Regions from separate parts of the Mus musculus genome. Here region 2 is reported to be linked to region 1. Evidence: microRNA targets listed by miRTarBase, many of them from high-throughput screens and not tested one by one. Region 1 holds a microRNA gene; the other region holds the end of a gene's coding sequence.

Region 1 (4,683 bases):
ATAAATAATATTACAAAGTCTCCAAGAAATCAGGACATCTTTGAAAACAAACAAGGACACTAGAGATCTACCAGAACCAGGTAGGGTTTGTTACAGGTGTGTGGAGATAGGAACTGTTAGCATTTCGGTGTATGTCATCTCTGCAATAGTTTAAAGTGAAGAAACCACAGTGGTGTCCTAACTGATGCATGAAAGGCATTTTTTTTCCTCTTGAGAGAGGGACTCATTATGTTGGCCTACACCTGCCTCAGTTTCCCAAGTTTTGGTATTCCAGGCATGTGCCAGTGCACCTAGCTATGAAAAACATTCTGACAGTCAACAACATCTATTCTAGAGAAGGAAGAAAGGGAGGAAGAGGGAAGAGGTAGAGAAGATGAGAAGAGAAAACGAAGAATTTTCTGGTGATTTAAGAAAACTAGGGCATTTCTGTGACACAATTAAAATCATCTACCTCAAAGTAAGTGTCAATATTATACCCAAAATATAATGCCCTATATGCTTGTCCATTAAATTTAAGAACAAGACAATAACACTCTTTAAAAAATTGTTTTTGTGAACATTCTTCTTTACGTAACGAGAGTCCAAGAATTTACAAGAGATTGAATCAACAATAAAGAATTTACCATCACCTTCCTACCCCCCTAGTGGCTTCATTAGTGAATTTCATCAAACATTTAAATAATGATGACTAACAATGTCTACAATCTTCTGCATAAAGGAGGGATTATTATTCCAAATTCTTTCTGCAAGGTCAGAATTACCTCGATGTGAAAATAAGGGAAAGGCATTACAAGTGAAGAAACTTGCAGGACAGTAACAGATGAAAGAATCTTGAAGGGAACACCAGCAAGCTCAACACAGTAATATTTCAAAAGGATCTGATAACACAGCGAAATGTGATATATCCTTGTGACACTGGGTGTGTCAACATATGCAAATCAAAAAGCACAATACACCATATCTGAACAGAATGAAACACAAAAATATGACTGTAGGTATGTTATTGTGCACTGTGTAAAAATTATCTTTGTATTATTTGAGTGCTGATTTCTGTGCCCCCATTTATGGATACAGTTCTTATTCTTCAAATCTCCTGTCTCAATGTTGTGTAAATATTGCTACCTATTATTCCCTGATAAGGAGGGAGAGGGAGAGGGAGAGGGAGAGGGAGAGGGAGAGGGAGAGGGAGAGGGAGAGGGAGAGGGAGAGGGAGAGGGAGAGGGAGAGGGAGAGGGAGAGGGAGAGGGAGAGGGAGAGGGAGAGGGAGAGGGAGAGGGAGAGGATCCATGGGGAAAGAGTTCAGAAGACCATGGAAAAATACCTAGACTTGAGAAAGCCACAAAATCCAAGTATCTCTGGGATTTTGGCTGAGAGGTAGCCAGATTATTTTAGAAGTTTAAAATAGATTAATACTGCTCAGTTGTTATGCCTTAAAGATGTAAATAAAAATAATAGTCCAGTTTCCATTATTTGGGAGCTAGCTTGGTTAAGACAAAAACTGGAACATTTTAAAAAAATGTCACTAACACATGAGCATCTCCTTAGTTGAGGAACAGCTTTTGACAAGAGTCAATCAATATCCCTTTGTGGTAAGATCTCCCAATGAATTAGGTATAGAAAAAAGTGTAGGTAAATGCAGTTGAAGCCGTATATGAAAAGCCCACAGTTAGCACATTGCACTCAGTGCTGAAAATTGGAAGCTTAGGATCAGCAAAAAGGCAAGGATGACAAGTCTTGTCTGTCACCCCTAGCAAACGAAGCACTGCATGTCCCAGCCAGAGACAAGGCAAGGAAAGGAACCCAGCCAAGTCCAACAGAAATCGAAGGTTTCTGCTTCCAGATGACATGACTGTATGTAGAGAAAACTCTAAAGATTCCACCAAAAAGTTGTTTAAAAGTAATTATTGAATTCAGTGAGGTTTCTGGACACCAAGATCCACAAGGGGAAAAAAAAAATCACTGGAATCCTCTATGCCAACAATGATTTATCTAAATAAGAAAGTAAAAAACCAATTCATTTCAGTTGAAAATAATAAAAATACTTAGAGATACATTTATCAAAGGAGCTAATGGCTTATATACCCCAAAGTGAAAAAGGAATCAACAAATGTGGTATACATGTATACAATGGAATATTATTTACTCCTGAAAAGGAAGAGATTCCAAGATATAAACATGGACAAACTTTGAGGATATTATGCTAAGACTTCTCATAAAAAGTCACTGGGTGATCATACTTTAACCAGTAGGGAGCAAGAGTAATACAATTTTCTGCCAAATCCACATATAGAGAATATACAATAAAAGTAAATGGTGGTTGGCAGGCATGGGGAAGAGGGTGATGGGTGGTTGTTGTCTCATGGGCACATTTCCAGTTTATGGTTGTTTTACAATGTGAGAGTTGGATGCCACTAAAATGTACACTCAACGCAGTTGAGACAGCACTGTGCTTTTGACTATAATAATGACAGGAGAGAAGAAGCAGTTTTCTTAACTGGTGAAAGTTAGTAGGTCTCTTCTGAGTCCTGATTCTCACTTACCAGCCATGTGCCCTTGGACATAGCATCTGTGGCTTTGATATAAGCTAAATGAGAAAGGGCAGCTCACCATAATGTTTTACATGATTGCCTGTGTGGCCACATACCATAATAATACTGTGACAGTAAGGGTACACGTGAGGCATACACTATTTTGTGTTCTAATTAGACGAATTAATTAGATCAGTTGCTTACAGCAGGTGGACTGTGACCACTTGTAACAAGCAATGAGTCTTGGCTGTTGCTATTTTGTAACTTCCTCATGTAGGACATCACAAGTGCCTCTGAATTCTCTGTGTAGAAATCTGGAGGGAATTGGATGCTTGGGCTTCCTGGCTCTACTCTGTCCTAACTGGTTCAGTGTCTCTTGCTGGTCTGTCCTATTCCTGTGCCTGTGGGCGCTCCGCAGGGTTCTGACGTAGCCCCACAAGGCTCTCAGTTGAAGCCTTGGCTACAGTCCAGTTAATTTAACAAAAGAGTTTAATGACCCCAGGTTATTTAAACTTTCAGTTGTTTTGGTAAATTGTATGACAAAGTGTGGTACTTTAACAAGCGCAGGGAGCCATGGTCTCAAAGGCTGGAGGAGTGTTTTTAAAACAGCAAAATTGTTTACAAAGCACTAGTACTTAATTTGTGCTCCAACATCAGTCAGACAAGCTCAATAGAATTCTTGCTGCCTGAGTCAGGTGCAGCCAGTGACCCTTTCTACTATGGTGTCAACCAGGTATCACTGTCATTGTCAGACTTATCTCCTGCACAGGCACAGCAAATTACTAGCAATTGAGATAATGGAAAAGAAAGTCTGAAGGGAAAAGAGATGGAGAAATGGAAAAGAAAGAGTGGGAGGCGGTAAGGAGAGAATTCGTTTCTGAAAGTTGCCATGAGTCCATCCGGGTGATAGAGCAAAAGAGAAAAAGAGAAGACAGAAAAAACACGAGTATGAATCTCCCTCCCATCGAACGCAGGAATTGACAAATAAACAAGAAGGATGGAGGTAGAAAAATGAACATTTCAAAACCCTCAAAACAATTCAGATAAGAATTAGAAATGGATGCTCAGCTAAGTAGTGGCTGAATGCAACAGGACACACAGCTACCTCTTCAAATCATGTACTCAGAGTAAAGAGAGTACCCTTATTTTAGAATAGTTATGGTTGACATTGTTAATAGTGAGCCCAGTCTCCTGACAAGCTGCCAAGGAGAAAGTCCTGCTTTGCTGGAAGCCCTGCTCCAGACACCTCACTTGAATTGAATCATGAGAAAAAAAATCAGACAACCCAAATAAATTATCTAGTCCTTCAGGAATAGAATCAGAAAATTCTCAAGCACACCTGTGATCCCAGTGCTTGGGAGCCAGAGACAGGGAGGCCAGCCTGGGCATCAGAGTTAGATAGAAATAAAAGAAATTAAAACAGGAAAGAAAAAAAAGCATCCCAAGAAAGACAGACAAGAGTGGAGGAAAGGCTCCAGACTGAAGTAGAGTGAAGAACTACTTAACCACAGGCTGGGCAGTGGTCACCATGCTGGTGGAGGGGTGGAGGAAGTGGCTGTGAGGGAGGGGCTCCTCAGCCGGCCTCCACTAACCAGTGAGTTCCTGGCCAATGAGAGATCTGCCTCAAAAGCAGGCAAACAGTACCTAAGGAAAACAATAAATACATGAGGTGGTCCTCTGGCTTCAACATGCCTGTGACCCTGCACACACACACACACACACACACACACACACACACACACACACACACATGCATACACACTTTAAAGGTCATTTTAAAATAAAAAAATTATTTTTGGTACGGTGGTACTCCTATTTGATCCTATGGTACCCTATTTCTGAGCTCTTCTATTTAGTACTTCATTTTAATCATTTATATTGTTTTCAAATCAGATTATAGCAAGTTTGAGAAAAAAAGATAGTCGTTAACCGTTATAGCTTCTATAGTGCCTATTACTTTGCATTAAAAATGTTCAAAAATTTAACATAGTAGCTAAAAATAAGAAATCATGCTCAAATCATCTTGGGTTCAACACTGCATTCCAGTTTTCGACCTAGCAGCATTAACAGGCACACACAACCAAAGGCGGCTGTGGAATCAACACTCCTCCTGGCATTGGGCTTTCTGGGCTCACCCTCTAGGACTTGGAAGTTT
Region 2 (4,000 bases), not on the chromosome of region 1:
AGAGAAAGTTCAGGAGCAAAGTAGTCTGTTAGAGAATGGGGCAGTCCACCAGGGAGACACCTCGTGGGGCTCCAGTGGTTCCGGGTCTCAGTCCAGCCAGGGCCGCGACAGCCACTCCTCCAGCCTGTCGGAACAGTCCTCCGACTGGCCCGCGGACGACATGTTTGAGCATCCTGCCTCCTGTGAGCTTGTGAAGTCAAAGACTAAATCAGAAGAGTCCTTCTCTGACCTGACCGGCTCCCTGCTCTCCCTGCAGTTGGATCTTGGGCCTTCACTTTTGGATGAAGTCCTGAATGTCATGGATAAAAATAAGTAGCCAGGAGTCAGCTCTTTTTCTTGGGAGTAAGAGGTACCAAAATAAGCAGAAAACAAAAAAATCAACTAACCACAGCTGATGGAAAGAGCTGCTCTGACTGTTTTTATTTGCAGCCATGTGATGCATTTTCTAAAATAACGCTCCTGTTCCTACAAAATATTTTTTTAACCATCATGCCCTGTTTGCAAAAATTTTGAAAACAATAATTTTTAAAAATTAAAAAAAACAAAACAAAACAAAAAAACCTGTTCTGGCAAAAAAGAAAAAAAAAGAAAAGAAAAAGGAGGAAGTGAGTCAGAGCTCATTTTCAACAGGCATTGCTGATGCTCATACATGCTCAGTTTTGTTTGTAGACATGCAGAAATCCAGGCTGTCTAAGAGGGCTGGGTCCATGGGTCTCTCCAAGGCAATTCATTGCATGTTATGAGAAGGAAACTTACTTATTTGGCACCTACGCCTTTTTTTCCTAGCCTTTTTTGTATATTGTATCTTTTGGGTTCACCACAGCGAAGTCTCCAGCGTTATGATTTTACTCTTTGCATATTCGAGCAACCTTACAGGATTTGGGATTTTTTTTCCTTGTGGTTTTTATATATCCCTGTATATTATTTCCATGTTGCAAAAGTTTGACTGTCAGCTACATGTTGGTTAAAAACAAGCAAGGTATTACTGTAACTAAGTTATTTTTAAAGTTGAAATATATTTTTATGTGCCTTTGGCTTTTTATTGCAAAGTCTACATTTTATACATAATACATCAAGTGTTATTTGTCGTGTTTCCATTCGGGCTTCCTTGCAAGCTACGCGTGTGTATTTGAAAACAAAACCAGCCCAACCCTATGCGTTATCAGCCTGACCCTGTTGCTCGGGTGTTACCTCCTCCCAGTAGGAGGCACAGGGTGATGCTTCTGTGGAGACTGGAGGTGAGGTAGGTATTTAAGGACAGCTCATGTTCACATTACTTGGGTACATCATACCACGCAATAAAGAGTAAATGCTAAAATGAACGTGTTCATTTATAGTCATAAACAAGAACCGAAAAGATTTTAAGACCATCTAGTAAAAGTCCTAAAATGTACCCACACCTTTAACATAAGCCAAGAGATGACTGCAGTCTTGACTTTTTTACAAGTTTGGTTCTAGAAATAGGAACACTTAAGAGAAATGAACATGGGCAATCATTGTGTTATTGTTGTTGTTGGCTTATACAAACCTGCATGCTGAGAGAGAGAAGAGAGGAAGAGAGTGAGGGGAGGAGATAGAGAGGGAGGGGAGAAGTGGAAAGGGGGGGAGAGATTGAGATTGAGGTGAGAGGATAGAAAGAGAGGTGAGAGGATAGAAAGAGGAGCGAGAGGAGAGAGAAGAAAGAGAAAGAAAAGAGAGAAGAGAAGACAGAGATGGGGGAGGGGAGCTAAGACTATAAGCCTTTGCCACAGGGCCACCAAAGCCCTGTGCATGCCTGTCTTCAAGGTTGGCTACAGCATTTTATCCTGTAAGACAAAGGCTCCCTTGCTGTGTAGGTCCTACAGACACAGAAGCTTCAGAGGACCACTCAAGGGCCCTTCCCCTTTGCAAGATGCCCTGAGGAGATTGGTTAAGGAACCCAGAACAGGAAATTGCACACAGATTCCTGTCTATCTTTAGGCGCCCCTCCTGACTCTGAGCTTTGTTGCCAACAGGGAGTGCCAGCTCCCTCAGCTTGATGTATCCCTAGGGCACCTTCACCAAGGCAGCAGCAGGGACTCTGGCCTGGGGTTTAGAGTTCTTGGACTTCAATCATATAATGCATGGGATAACCTTTGAACGTAGGAAGTGAGATCCACTTTGGGTGGCTAACCAAACAGAGTAAATCGTTTCCCCTAGAGCGTTGAGTCTATTAAGCAACCCCAAGTCCTGCATCTCCACTCTGCTTCTTCCCAGTGTTCCTTTCTGTGGGATCACACTCAGTCATGGGTCAGAAACTTCTTAGACTTTCTAAGGCCAAGTTGCACGAGCTCATTTTTTTGTAGCTGGTGTCAGCCAAACTCTCTTAACACTTTCCCATCTTAATTACTGATCATATTCAGTCTCACTGTACCCTTTGTCTGCTGTATGACTTCCGGGAAAGAGGGAGGGATTTGTCTCCATCTTTTTTGCTGCCTTTCCAGCCATGGTGGAGAACGGCTCTGGTAAAGTCTCATCTTCTGCATCCCTCACATGTCTACCCACTTGACTTTTCCAAACTAAACTCCATATTCTCCAAAATCCATACTCTGTCCGGACCAAACAACTAAAACACAGACACCTTCAAGTACACTTGTAGGTATACTTGACATAGCAAAAAATTCGCTCCTATTATAAGAAAATGGCCTGGTCCAGTCTCTTGAACAGGTGCCCAAGTGGCAGTTAACTTTCTGTCCTACAAAGAGGCACTTTAGACTCTTACCTGCTGAGAGCTGATTTGATGTTCTCAAGCTGTGTCTCCATCCTACTTACATCCTAATTTATCTTCACTTAATTTAAGGAATTTAAGGAAACCCAAATGGACTTCATTTGTAAACTAAAAATGAGTGACAAGCCACCTGTGTGTGACCCACATACCAAAAATATGTCATCATTTGCATAAGTAGTGACCCTTTTAAAGTAGGCAAAGTTTTGTTTTTTGTTTTGTGTGTAGGTAGATGTCTGTTTTCATGGACAGTAAGACCTAACAAACTATATTTTCCATCCAAAAATTACATGCTAAAAATAATATCAGAGTCCTTTGCTCCTCATAATATACAGTCATTAATCTCAGTGGGCCAGCATCACTGTCAACAAGCACATAGAGGACAATTGGTTGAGCAGGAAGGAGAACCAGAAACCCAGGATACAGCCTCAAGCTAGGTCTTTTCACTGAAGGCCACTGCAAATACTGTACATCATGGAATGGTGCTGACCTGGGAGTCTGTGAATTAACTTGATAACTATTTTAGAAAATAAAAAAACCAAAAAAAAAGAGCATATGTTATATTTCTAGTCTTCCCATTAATGCCAAGCTGGGATGACTGAGCCATTTTGCTTTGAGCTTCAGCAACAATAAAGCAGCTCAGGATGCTGCCCTCTTTGCAGTGAGTCTCACTTTGGGAATTTATACTGGCAACCTAGCCCCAGACAAAACCCTCCGGTTTAGGATTGGCCTCCTAGACTATGAATGGTAAGCAACTAAGGTATATAAATAGACCACTGTGTCCCATGCCCTTGGTGTAAATATAATACAACTGTCCTGTGTCCCCACCCGTACTCTCAGACTAGATCCAGCACAACAAGAGAACATTCTCAATGTCACACCACATGGTGAGCCACCCGAAGACCTCTTTAAGCTGTATGAGACTCAAGAAAGCTGTGTTGCTGAAAAGTAGCCATACATATTAATTCGTGGTGCTGAATAAACAAGATGCTTGCTTTGTAAGCGAGTAAATGGTCACTGCTCAACATACTAACACAGTTGATGGATCCAACGCTGCCCAAAGGGTCACTCATTTTATTCTGAAAGCACACTGTTTTATCCAAGGAACTTTTCACCTGAGAATGGTTGCCATGTTATGCTTCAAGCGAGGAAGTCCAAATGCTCCTAGCTTGACTCATTGGGTCATCCTTCTCTAGTGAATTACTGCAAGGAACATCACGTGAAGGAATGAAAACTCTTATGGAGTGATCTGTAACA

Evidence for each region. The annotated mature microRNA mmu-miR-3967 reads AGCUUGUCUGACUGAUGUUG and lies in region 1 at 3,177-3,196, opposite strand. An mRNA with a match to its seed (bases 2 to 7 or 8) in the 3' UTR can be bound and repressed. Matches are read on the target gene's strand: a 7mer-m8 pairs with bases 2 to 8, a 7mer-A1 pairs with bases 2 to 7 and ends in A, and an 8mer does both.
Region 2: miRTarBase lists Cdc42ep3 as a target of mmu-miR-3967. Seed matches in the 3' UTR shown: 7mer-A1 at 971-977.

The regions. Positions count from the first base shown.
Region 1 is chr2:22,652,834-22,657,516 of GRCm38, reverse strand. Mir3967 (microRNA 3967) reads right to left here and starts at 3,234; the gene lies at 3,167-3,234. All of the region lies in intron 8 of Gad2 (glutamic acid decarboxylase 2), which reads right to left.
Region 2 is chr17:79,331,041-79,335,040 of GRCm38, reverse strand. Cdc42ep3 (CDC42 effector protein (Rho GTPase binding) 3) reads left to right here. Exons shown (of 2, transcript NM_026514.3): 2 at 1-1,318. The coding sequence ends at 316. Among named protein-coding and RNA genes, the nearest start is that of Gm17315, 22 kb to the left of the region's middle.